2 linked regions of the Drosophila melanogaster genome follow. The protein of the gene in region 2 interacts with the protein of the main gene of each other region in a pairwise test. Each region holds a gene or a part of one and is shown on either strand. Other genes may lie near its edges. The genes, in order: DNAlig3 and tou.

Region 1 (5,607 bases), on a different chromosome or scaffold from region 2:
ACCAACCAAACATTTCCCCAATTATCTTGGCAGTTACACATTGCTTTATATAAAAGACTTTACAAAATATAATAGAGTATTTCTGAATTTCTATAATTGTTCATTGTTTGTTATTCAAAACGTAGTCGAACGCAGCAGCACCCACTAAATGTGTGTATGGATAGATCACTGATTGCCTGACCTTGACATACGATTTTATATAGGCTTGTACGCAATGCTGGAGGCCAGTAGATACACACTTCTTCCAATCGAGTTTCAAGTGCAAGTGCAAGTAACCCGGATGCTTATTAGGTAATTAACTTATTAAATCCGGATCAATAAATTTAACTAACTTGCCACTTCCGCCTTTGGTGTAGAGATCACAGACTATGTCCAGCATGGCTCTCTTCCGTAGGAACATGCCGGCCATGTTGCCCAAGTAGAGCACTGGCTTTTCATAGGCGATGCCCCTATCCTTGAAGAAATCATTGTTGGCGGACGCCCAGCGGTAGAACAAGGCGGTAGCGATCGCAAATAGGGCCAAGAACTCCCACAGCATGTTGAACGAGCGCCTAGTCTGACGATCCAAGCGTCCAAAATATAACTAACAAACAATCGGAAGCATTTCGTTGTCGCAACGCAGAGCTTTCTATCAAAGCTTCTTGCTCTGCTTTTAGCATTTGATAAAATACTTGTTGTCAATAATACACACATATGTATGTGTGTTCGGTTTAATCAAGCATGTACAAATTTCTGAGTGCAAACGATTTAGAATACCACTCATCATTTCATCATCACGGCGTGTAGGGGAAAAGGTTGACGACTCTGAGTATCGAGACAGCTTTGGAGCCAGCTTACATTCAAGTGCCGGCAGCTACGACGATAGAGCGTTCTAAAAAAAAGGAAGCCAGTGAATTAAGTTTACTTTTAGATTAAGTGATCATCTAGACATTACCTAAGCTTCTCTAGGTCCAATGCCTCGTTCGTATTCGCATAAAAGACCAGATCAGCTTTTTGTGGTTCTGTTGTACAGCATCCTCCATGCTGTGAAAACTGCTGCATCAGTTTACTTGAATCCTTCTCCATGGCAAAGTGTGCCACCAATCCTTCGAACAACTGGGGTTTCGAGCTAGTGGATTCAATATTGCCTTCATCCTCCTTTGGTTCCTTTTTCACAACTGATTTAAACTCCTTGCTGGGCTTAAAAAAATCCTTTAATCCCTTTTGCGAAGGGGACAAGCTTCGAATCGCTTTGGACTCCTTGCGTTTGCTGAGCACAGGAGCTCCGTCTTCGTCATCAGAACCAGTATTGGACCTTTTCAATTTCTTACTACCATTTGATTGATTGCCATTCAGTTTTTTCTCCTTTTCAGGAGTTGTTTTGTTATTCATTGCTGTCTCATCTTTACTACAATTGGCCAGAAGTAAATCAACATTTACATTCGATTTTGAGGCCTCGAAAAGATCTTCTAGATGGGCCAGATCATTGGCCTCTTTGGCTGATTTATCACTGCGACGACGAGTAATCCTGGGAAATCGTACTGAGATTCCAGACGCGGTATGGGCATCGGACTTGGTGAACTCTGCGCCAGTAATCTCCCATACTGGCATTTTCATCGGATCCTTGGCCAGTACATCTGGTACAAGGGACTTACTGCATAACAGCCAACTGGGAATTGCGTTGGCATCAGCACGTTCGGTTAGTTTGATTAGTGATTTATGTACCTCTGCGTTGGTAGCATCATCCAAGCCAGAGTGCACTTTGGTCACTGTCTTCCACAAACGCCCAAACGCATCGTAGCAGCCCATGAGAAAAATACTAAGCGTGCCACCTTTCTTCCCTGATCCGTACCAAGCACCCAAAACAACCAAGTCCGCGGTGTCAGCCATCTTTCCGTCGAATAGGTAATCCTTCTTGACCTTAAGCCAGTTCCTTTTGCCGGGCTGATATGTGCTGGTTGGACTCTTTAGGACCACACCCTCCAGATTGGCATGTAACACCCTGGCCGTCATCGCGGCCAGTTCCCTCGTGGTCTTGAGGAACTCCGACTCCGACAGCTGCACGTGGGATTTAATGGGTTGAATATTCTGCTCAAGAATCTCGCGACGCTTGCGAAATGGCCTGAAAAATCCAGATAATATATTAGGAACTATTTCATTTTTAAATATTATCTTACAAATTATATTCTTCCCAACCTTACCCCACTTACAGCTGGGTCAAATCCTCGCCATCATACAGTATGCAATCGAAGACGAATAAGCATACAGCAGCATTGGCGAAAGTCTGCTTCTTATGGGCACCCAACGAACCAAAGGGCAGCAGTGCTCCTGTGTCAGTGTCGACCAGAATGATCTCAGAGTCCAGTATCATTTCGCCACCGCCAGGAAAGGCTTGCGGAATATATTTTTTCAGAGCCCGTATCTTGTGATCCACCACAGGCTTTAGATTGCGACTAAAGAACTTGAAGTCGTTGCCCTGCTTGTGGATTTGAACTCGCTCTCCATCGTATTTGATCTCGCTATATAGTCCAGTGGGGCTCTTCTTGAAGGCGTCCTCCACCGACTTGCAGGGACTGGCCAACATGGGCGATATGGGTGTCATTACCTGAATTGCACTCGAGCTCGTTTTCTTAGTCTTCTTAACGGGACTACTAGCATAATTTTTATTTTCTTTGGTGGCAAACTGTTCGACAATTGCCACCAAATCGCGGGAAGACTGATATGCGGGGTAGGCATCAGGACCAAAAGCATCCAGGATGTGCCGGGCTCGGGCATTGATTCTTAAGTCGTGCTTCACCAAGCGAATAAAGGTGCGCAGATCCAGGTCAGTGGCCTTCGAGCACAACTTCTGTAGCAGATCTGTTTGCTCATCCTCTTTGGTACGCTCCACCAGGTGCAGGAGCATTTCCTCCACCTCCTGCAGATAGAGTTTGCTCTGCTTTTGCGGCTTGAGTTTCTTAGAAGCAGCAAAGTGCTTGCGTAGAGTTTCCGAAACGTCGCCATCTACGGGAAACGAGAAGTTAGACCAGACTCAACAAGAGTTTGTGTCGGAAGTTTCTTGAAAAATGACAACTTGCCCTGCTCTAGATCCAGATGCATTTGCTGTTGATCTGCATTAAAAATGCGCGAAAAGAGTTTGATCAGCGCCTTGTTCTGCAGATTGTAGACGCGCTGATTGGCCGCCGGAATGAGGAACTGCACCCAGAGCACGGTGTCGCCCTTGAAGCCCTTGCCACTGCTCCCCTTTTCGAAGAATCGCTGCAGTCTCTCCGCTTTCTTCAGGTAACTTGACTCGCCGGCAATTTCATCACAGATGCGACGGAAAGTGTCCAACTTGTTGTCCTCATTGTGCAATCCCTTGCTGGCCATCTTATTACACAGAAGACGAGTTAGAATCCTGGCCTGCCACGTTAGCCTGGACAATAGCATACGCACACTAATTGCAAATTAAAAATGTGGTTGTCTATTTCACAGAACAATGCAAACAGACTTTCGACTCACGAGTAAATAAATCGGGAATATTTGACTCAAATCAGCTGTTGCTCGCCAAACACGCGCTCGGCGGCGTTGTAATTGGCGGCTCGAGAGTCTTGCAATGCCGTTACGAATTTGAAGCTCAGGCGCCAGAACGGGTGCAGATTCGATTCCACGACTTCAACGTGCCTACGGAGCACGAGAATTCCACGGGTTGCCAGCCGGGCGATGCGCTGCACGTGGTCACCGAGCTGCGTGGACGGTACGAGACGCAGGAACTGCTCTGCGGCGCCTTCCTGCCCAAGCCACTGATGTCCAGTGGACAGCAGCTACACCTTCAGTTTGTCGGAAAATATCCGCCCACAATGACGAACAAGGTGCAATACTACGGATTTCGCGCGGAGTACCGTTTCTTAACCAGTAAGTGTTTCCACTGAGTCTTAATCAAATAAAGACTGATATTTATTTAAAAATTGGCTTATTTTCAAGATTTTGGTATCATGTCGGGGATTCAAAAGGAAGGATGTTCCTTTGTCTACAATAGCAGCGAGCGAATAAGTGGCCTATTTCACTCTCCGAATTTTCCCGGATATTACCTGGAAAATGTTGTGTGCAATTATTATTTCTACGGAGCAAGTGACGAAAGAGTTGTGCTTCACTTCACATATTTCGATATCGAGGGCATTGGAAGGTAAGATCTTTATCTAAACTATCACCTAAAAATGTTTAATCCCCTTTTCTGTGCAGTTGTGACCACCAAACCGCCAGCGATTACATCGAGTTTTCCAATTTCATGAGCACGGATCGAAAGTTCAGCAGATACTGCGGAAAGCTTCCCGATTTTGAAATGCGTTCTGATGGACGTTTCTTTCGAGTCACCTTGCATTCCAATGATCGCTTTGTGGCCATCGGATTCCGCGCCCTGTACACCTTTGAAACCGTTTCAGTGAATAATTCCATCACCGATCTTCGGGATAATGCCTCCATGCAGAGTTTCGTCTCAACAGCGTCAACTCAGCCGGTTGCAAATGTAAACAAATTAATTGCATGTATCTTATGCACTTATAAAGCATACCAATCTTATGTTTAAAATATAGAGACAAAATATTTCGAAATTTTGTTTTCTAATTCTTTAATAAATTTTAATAATTTTTTTCTATTTTAATGGCACACAACTTCATTAAATTTAAATATTTAATCTTGGCCAAATTATCGTTTTAAAAGCAATCGATTTCATGTTGGCTATCGAAGTTTATGCGTAGTAGTTCAAGAACTAACAATTTAAGTTGAGGGATTTTAAGTATTAGGATGTAAATTAAACGTGATATCATCGATAAAAACTCCGCCAAGCATTTTCATTTTCAATAGTTTCTGGTAAAAATTATTTATTTAATTTCAACTTCATTATCAGAGTTACCGTGTAAACGAGCCACTCGTTGTTATCTGCAATCGATCTTTACCTGTTCGATTCAGTTTTGTAGAGTCACGACATAAGTATATGCTATCTTTTTATCATTTTTGGTATAAATTAAAAACAAAGAAACAAATTACCATTAATTGTTTAAATTTAATAATGTCAACTTCTTTAAAACATAACATTCAACAAAACATATTATTATTTTGATCGTTTATAAGATTAGTTCCTTTGAACAAGTTTAATCCAAAAGCCGCCTTTGGGTGACAACTGAAAACCGGAAGTAATGAGCTCTAGTGGAATGCAGGATTTCTTGGCAGGGGCAAAGCGGTAGTCCTTCAAAAGATAGTAGATAACAGCCTTTGCTTCAAGTAGAGCGAATCGGGAACCTATAATAAATACATTTTACATTTTTTCGAAGAACAATTTTGAATCAATCAACTTACCAATGCAGTTGCGTTGACCCAGGCCAAAGGGGAAGTATGTGAATGGCTGAATAGACTCCTTGTTCTCATCGCTAAAACGTTCCGGATCGAACTTCATAGGGTTCTCAAAGTACTTGGGATCACGATGGAAGCCGCATGTAGGCAGCCAGATGACATCGCCCTTCTTGACCTCGACTTTCTGGCCATCCACATCGAAGGTGATATCCTTGTTGCATTCTCGATCGACGGCAATTGCCGCCGGCCACTTTCGCAGAACCTCGTTGACGACCTGATCCAGATACTTCATGCCCATAA
Region 2 (4,853 bases):
CCAAGAGTCTGCTCAGCGGTGAGACCACGGAGCTGGGACTACGAGATGCAGCGCAGCTGTGCACGCAAGGTGAATCCCTGGACACCTTGGGCATGTTCATTGCCCTCACCGGATTGCAGCACGCGGGGGTAAATTTCTTGTCCATTTGATACTTGTGTAATGGTACTTAAAAACAAAAATTTTTTTCAGCAAGCCATGAATACGGGCGTGCGAAAGTCCAGAAATCCACTCTTCAATCCTGGTCACATTTTTGGTAAATTCCTGGACAACAACAGCATCGACAATCCCAAGACCAAGATGCAGCTTTCGGAGCACGTGCATCCCTCCCTTGAGGCGGCTGCCCAGTGCATTGAACTGTCGGTGGCGCGTCTCCAAATGGCCGTGGAGCTGATGTTCACCAAGCACGGCAACGCGGTGGTGGAGCGTCAAAGTGAAATGCAGCGCCTGGCGGAGGTGGGCACCCTTATCTATGCCATGTGGGCCAGCGTGGCGAGGGCATCCCGATCGTATTGCATTGGACTGCCGCTGGCGGATCATGAACTGCTCACGGCCACAGCGATATGCTCGGAGGGCAGGGATCGCGTCCGCACCCTCTGCACGGAGATCTATGGCGGTCATTTTGTGAACAACGACAACAACCTGGTGCGACTCTCCAAGCAAGTGGCCAAGAGCAAGGGCTACTTCGCTGTTCATCCGCTGACATTTAACTTCTAAGCCAAGCTGGTAGTTAAGTTTATTATTGCCTTTACGATTAAAGTGAATACTTGTTATTGATAATTCGCATGTGTTTAATCTCGTCTTGAGGGTTCCAAAAGGTAAAACACATTTGTGGATTATTTTCCGGGACACAATTTGACAACTAGTTTTTATATTTTATATTTCTAATAATTCACGCAAATATTAGCCAAAAAAAAAACTAAATAGACTGATTGACGCAATTGTTCAACATATTTTTAAGTAGAACAATTTTCTTAAAATCCCCCTAAGCCATCACAAATAATCCAGCATTCTGGGAAATCAGCGTGAAATGTCTTAATCCGTTGAGTTTACCACCTGTCCGCCTTTTCCGCTGCACTGGGAATTGGATTTGCATTTCGTTTAAGTGGTTGAACTGGGCGAATTGATAAAGAATTGACAATTTGCTAAGCGGCGCAGGAAGACGGCCAAAAGCGGTGTGAGTGTGTGAGTATGCGGTCTCTTCGTTCATGAACGTGTGTTAGCGTGTGTGTGTGTGGACAGGTGGTAAAATAGCCTGTACTGTACTTTCAACGTAAAGCAGCTAGCTTACTTAGAGTACTCAGTCAATATCGGGTCAATCAAAATGTGGTTAAAGGTTTTGTCTAAACAAGCGCAGAATTCCTAATAATTTGGATGACTATTAAATGATTAATAGATAGAACCGTGTGCAAGTGTGCGTGTTTGTTTGTTTGTGCCCACAACTACACAGCAAGATTTGGTTTCATGTCCACTTGTTTCGCCGCCACGCTCTCGCCACTGTTAGTTAACATAGCTCTGCCAGCGACTAACATGCACTCACACTCGTGCAGCGGCAGCACTGCAGGCAGCGAAAATCGAAGAGAGTAGATTCATAAAAGAGTATCGGTTTCTCTATCGAAGCGTTCGGACGTCGAAAAGATAAACCCCAATTTAAATCTAATCCATCTGCGAGCAAATTAAACAACAATAATGATAGATTCTTAAGCGGCGCGCACATACGTGTCTTATTAATCGATTTTGATGTTTAAAAAATAATATAGAAAGTTGAAGTGAACTTGCAAACCTCGCGAATAGCTGGAAATTTGCGCGTGTGCGGGTGGAACAGTGACACTCGTGTGAAAATCATCGCTAAGGAAAAGGCGGATAATATAAAGGAAAAACGCCCGCGGCGAAAATTATTCCATTGGTGTGAGTGTGCAAAAAAAAGGAAGAAATATCAAGAGCAAAGAAGTTCGAGAAATTGCTAAAAATTAAGTGTGTTTGTGCTTGTGTGAGTGGGTGACAAATGAATGGGCAGCAAAAAGACGAGAAGTCAATCAGCGATAAGCAGTTTAAACAAACAAAAAAGGTGAGCTAAAATTTAAAGCTAAATCAAACTCATTTATATGTAATACAAAGTGTATAAATATAAAGTTCACTGATGAAAAATTAAATGATTTCACCCTTAAAATATTCCCGTTGAGTTCAATACAACACCCCCGCCCCCTTTTATCAGCCCTCCCCACTCCCCTTCCCAATTTCAACCGCAAACAAATAAAATAGGCAGAAAACCGAAGCGGATAAAAAAGAGGAAGAAGCGAAAGAAGTAGCGTCGCCGATTTCAGTCCTTCATTCCATTTCATTTCGTTCCACATGCTTTTGCTGCCCCTGTGATGTTGTAGTTGTTGTTGGTGGTGCCTTTGTTGTTCTTGCTCTTGTTCTTGTTCTTGCTGTATTTCGGCGGTGACAGTGAGCGTGAGCAATGAAGGCGGCGAACGGCGAACTCTGGAAATTGCCACAAGCAGTGGCACACGACGCGGCCAACAAACACACACACACGCATGCGAGCATACTCTGCTGGCCAGAGCAAATACAACATACAGTGGGACTTTGTTTGGGCGGACAGCATGGATAGTTGAAATTAATATATTCCTTTTCAGTGACAACTTAAACAAGAATCTACGTAAAATACTTACTTTTTGCACCAAATAATTACCATTTTTAGCAGTTTGTAAGAAAATGAAATGTTTATAATTCCACTAATCTTTTGAGTTTGCAGTGATAACCGTGTAAATTGAACTATTACAATCTTTTTTTTATTTATTAAAACTATTTTTTTATTTATTAAAAAAAACACAATTTCTATTGATTCGATTACTGATAAGTACTCTATAGCGATTTATGTATATTTAAGCAATTAGTGCTAGAGATCAAGATGAATACATTTATTTTAAATGAAAGATTCAGGTTAAAGAACTCTTGATGACAAAAAAAAATAAATATTTTAATTTACGAGCTTTTAAATTTCACATACTAATCATATAGCCATAAACTAAAACCGGGGAATTTTGAGTAGCCAATCTTTACTGTACTCGCACGAATACAGTGACAAATGCAGGGGGCAGCGAAACACGACAGCGACGGCGGCAGAGGCAAAGACACCTCGAGGAGTCAACTCACCTCTCGAAACCGATTCCTCTGCTTCAATTTTTTCTTTTATTTTCCTTTTTGCGCTCATATTGTAGTTTAATTTTTATTTTATTTTTTTTTAGCCCGCCCTGTCCGCATGTGTTATGCGTGTGTGTGTGTGTTGGGTTCACACAAATACAATTCATCAGCGGCAGAGAAGTCGGCGTCGCTTGTTGTTTTTGTTGCTGGTGCTGCTATTATTTGTTGTTGCTGGTTCTGCGCGCTTTTATTTGAGATTTGCGCACGAATGGCTTTTGCTTTTGCTCTTGGAGTTGTATATAAATTGTAAAGCGTGTGGGGAAGGGGCAGCTGCAGAAGGTGGAGGATGAGGGGCTTTCAGGCTAGTTTCGTTCTAGAGTTCGCGAGCACACAAACACGCACACACAGTCACGTACATACGCTCGACAGAAATACGGGTACACAACATAGAGAAAAAATAAGGAGAAAAAAACAAGACTGCAAGTGGATTGGGCTTTGAATTTTGTTTTGTACACTTTTCCCTCGGCCCTGCTCCTTCGTCCTTCCTTCTTTTGAGTGAATTTTTCACCTCCTTCCCTACCCAAATACTGCTATTCCTTAGCTTTCTTGGCATATTTCGCAATTTCCCCTTCGCATGTTAATTGCCGGCGTTGAACTTTTAGTTGTTAATCAATTTGGTTTGGCTGCTATTTTGCCTCTTTTCACTTCTTTGCGTTGTTTGTTTTACAAACACACATGCCGCTGGTTTTTTGTCTTTTGTTTCAAATATAGCATTTGATTCGGGAAAAACTACAATTATTTCTATAATGACAAGCTTAGGATTTTAAGAAATACAGTTCACTTACTAAATTGGAAATACATATATGCCGGTTTAACTCAAAATAAATGCAACTTATCGCGAGCATAGTTTATATAAAATATATTAGTAATTAAGAGAACATACATACATACATGTACATATATGTAAGAACTGTTTAAAGTTTATGTTAGATTGATCTATTTATGCTAAAAGATTATTAATAGCCAAAGTTAACATTAAAGTCATGAATGCAATTGTTTTGTTTGCTTGCAAATCAATTAACTTAGCTAATCAAAACATTAACTGCGTCTATTCAGGACTTCTTCATTTGTTTGATTGCAATTTCCTCTTTGCATTTCCGATTCCCTTTTTGGCCAAAAAATTAAAAGAGGTGCCAGCCGCCAGATGTCGCCACTGTTGGCTGATTCCGGCTGCTGCTGCCGCTGCTTCTTCTACTTCGCTCTGCTTTTACTCTGCCCGCAAATCGATTTCGATTTGGTTCCGTCTCTTTCGCACACACCCTCGACTTCTGGCTGTGTGTGTGTGTGAGCAATAAGCTTAACATAAATCATTATAACGGCACATACAGGAGGGACCTTACATGTCACCCCAACCCCCAGTCCCCCCTTGCGCCCACAACCGCCCATTTTTCTGTATGTCTGTGTTTGTATATTTGTTCGTTTCGGCTGTCATTTCATATGGAATTCTATATGGGAACGCACAAAATCGATTTCTAATCGTGTAAATAAATGGCGACAAATGCTGCGACCTCTCACACTCGTCAACATGCTCGAGCTCTGCCTTCTCTCCTTTCGCATAGCAACGAAAAGCAGGAAAGAGGGAGGAGAGGCAGAAGGTTTGCATGGGCAATTGTTTCAAAACTAAAAGTTGCACACTGAGAAAAATGCTA

Evidence for each region.
Region 1: the proteins of tou (region 2) and DNAlig3 interact in a two-hybrid assay, tested with the Drosophila melanogaster proteins (one large-scale study listed by BioGRID).

The regions. Positions count from the first base shown.
Region 1 is NT_033777.3:12,398,338-12,403,944, forward strand, and holds DNAlig3 (DNA ligase 3), read right to left. Parts: upstream 3,454-5,607; 5' UTR 3,409-3,453; coding exon 3,057-3,408; intron 2,983-3,056; coding exon 2,190-2,982; intron 2,102-2,189; coding exon 935-2,101; intron 872-934; coding exon 763-871; 3' UTR 674-762; downstream 1-673. Other genes in the region: Sol1, read left to right, coding at 3,454-3,873, 3,943-4,144, 4,201-4,543; Cyp9f3 (cytochrome P450 9f3), read right to left, coding at 333-538; Cyp9f2 (cytochrome P450 9f2), read right to left, coding at 5,090-5,256, 5,314-5,607.
Region 2 is NT_033778.4:11,612,791-11,617,643, reverse strand, and holds the start of tou (toutatis), read left to right. Parts: upstream 1-1,598; 5' UTR 1,599-2,065; intron 2,066-4,853. Other genes in the region: Egm (enigma), read left to right, coding at 1-128, 190-714.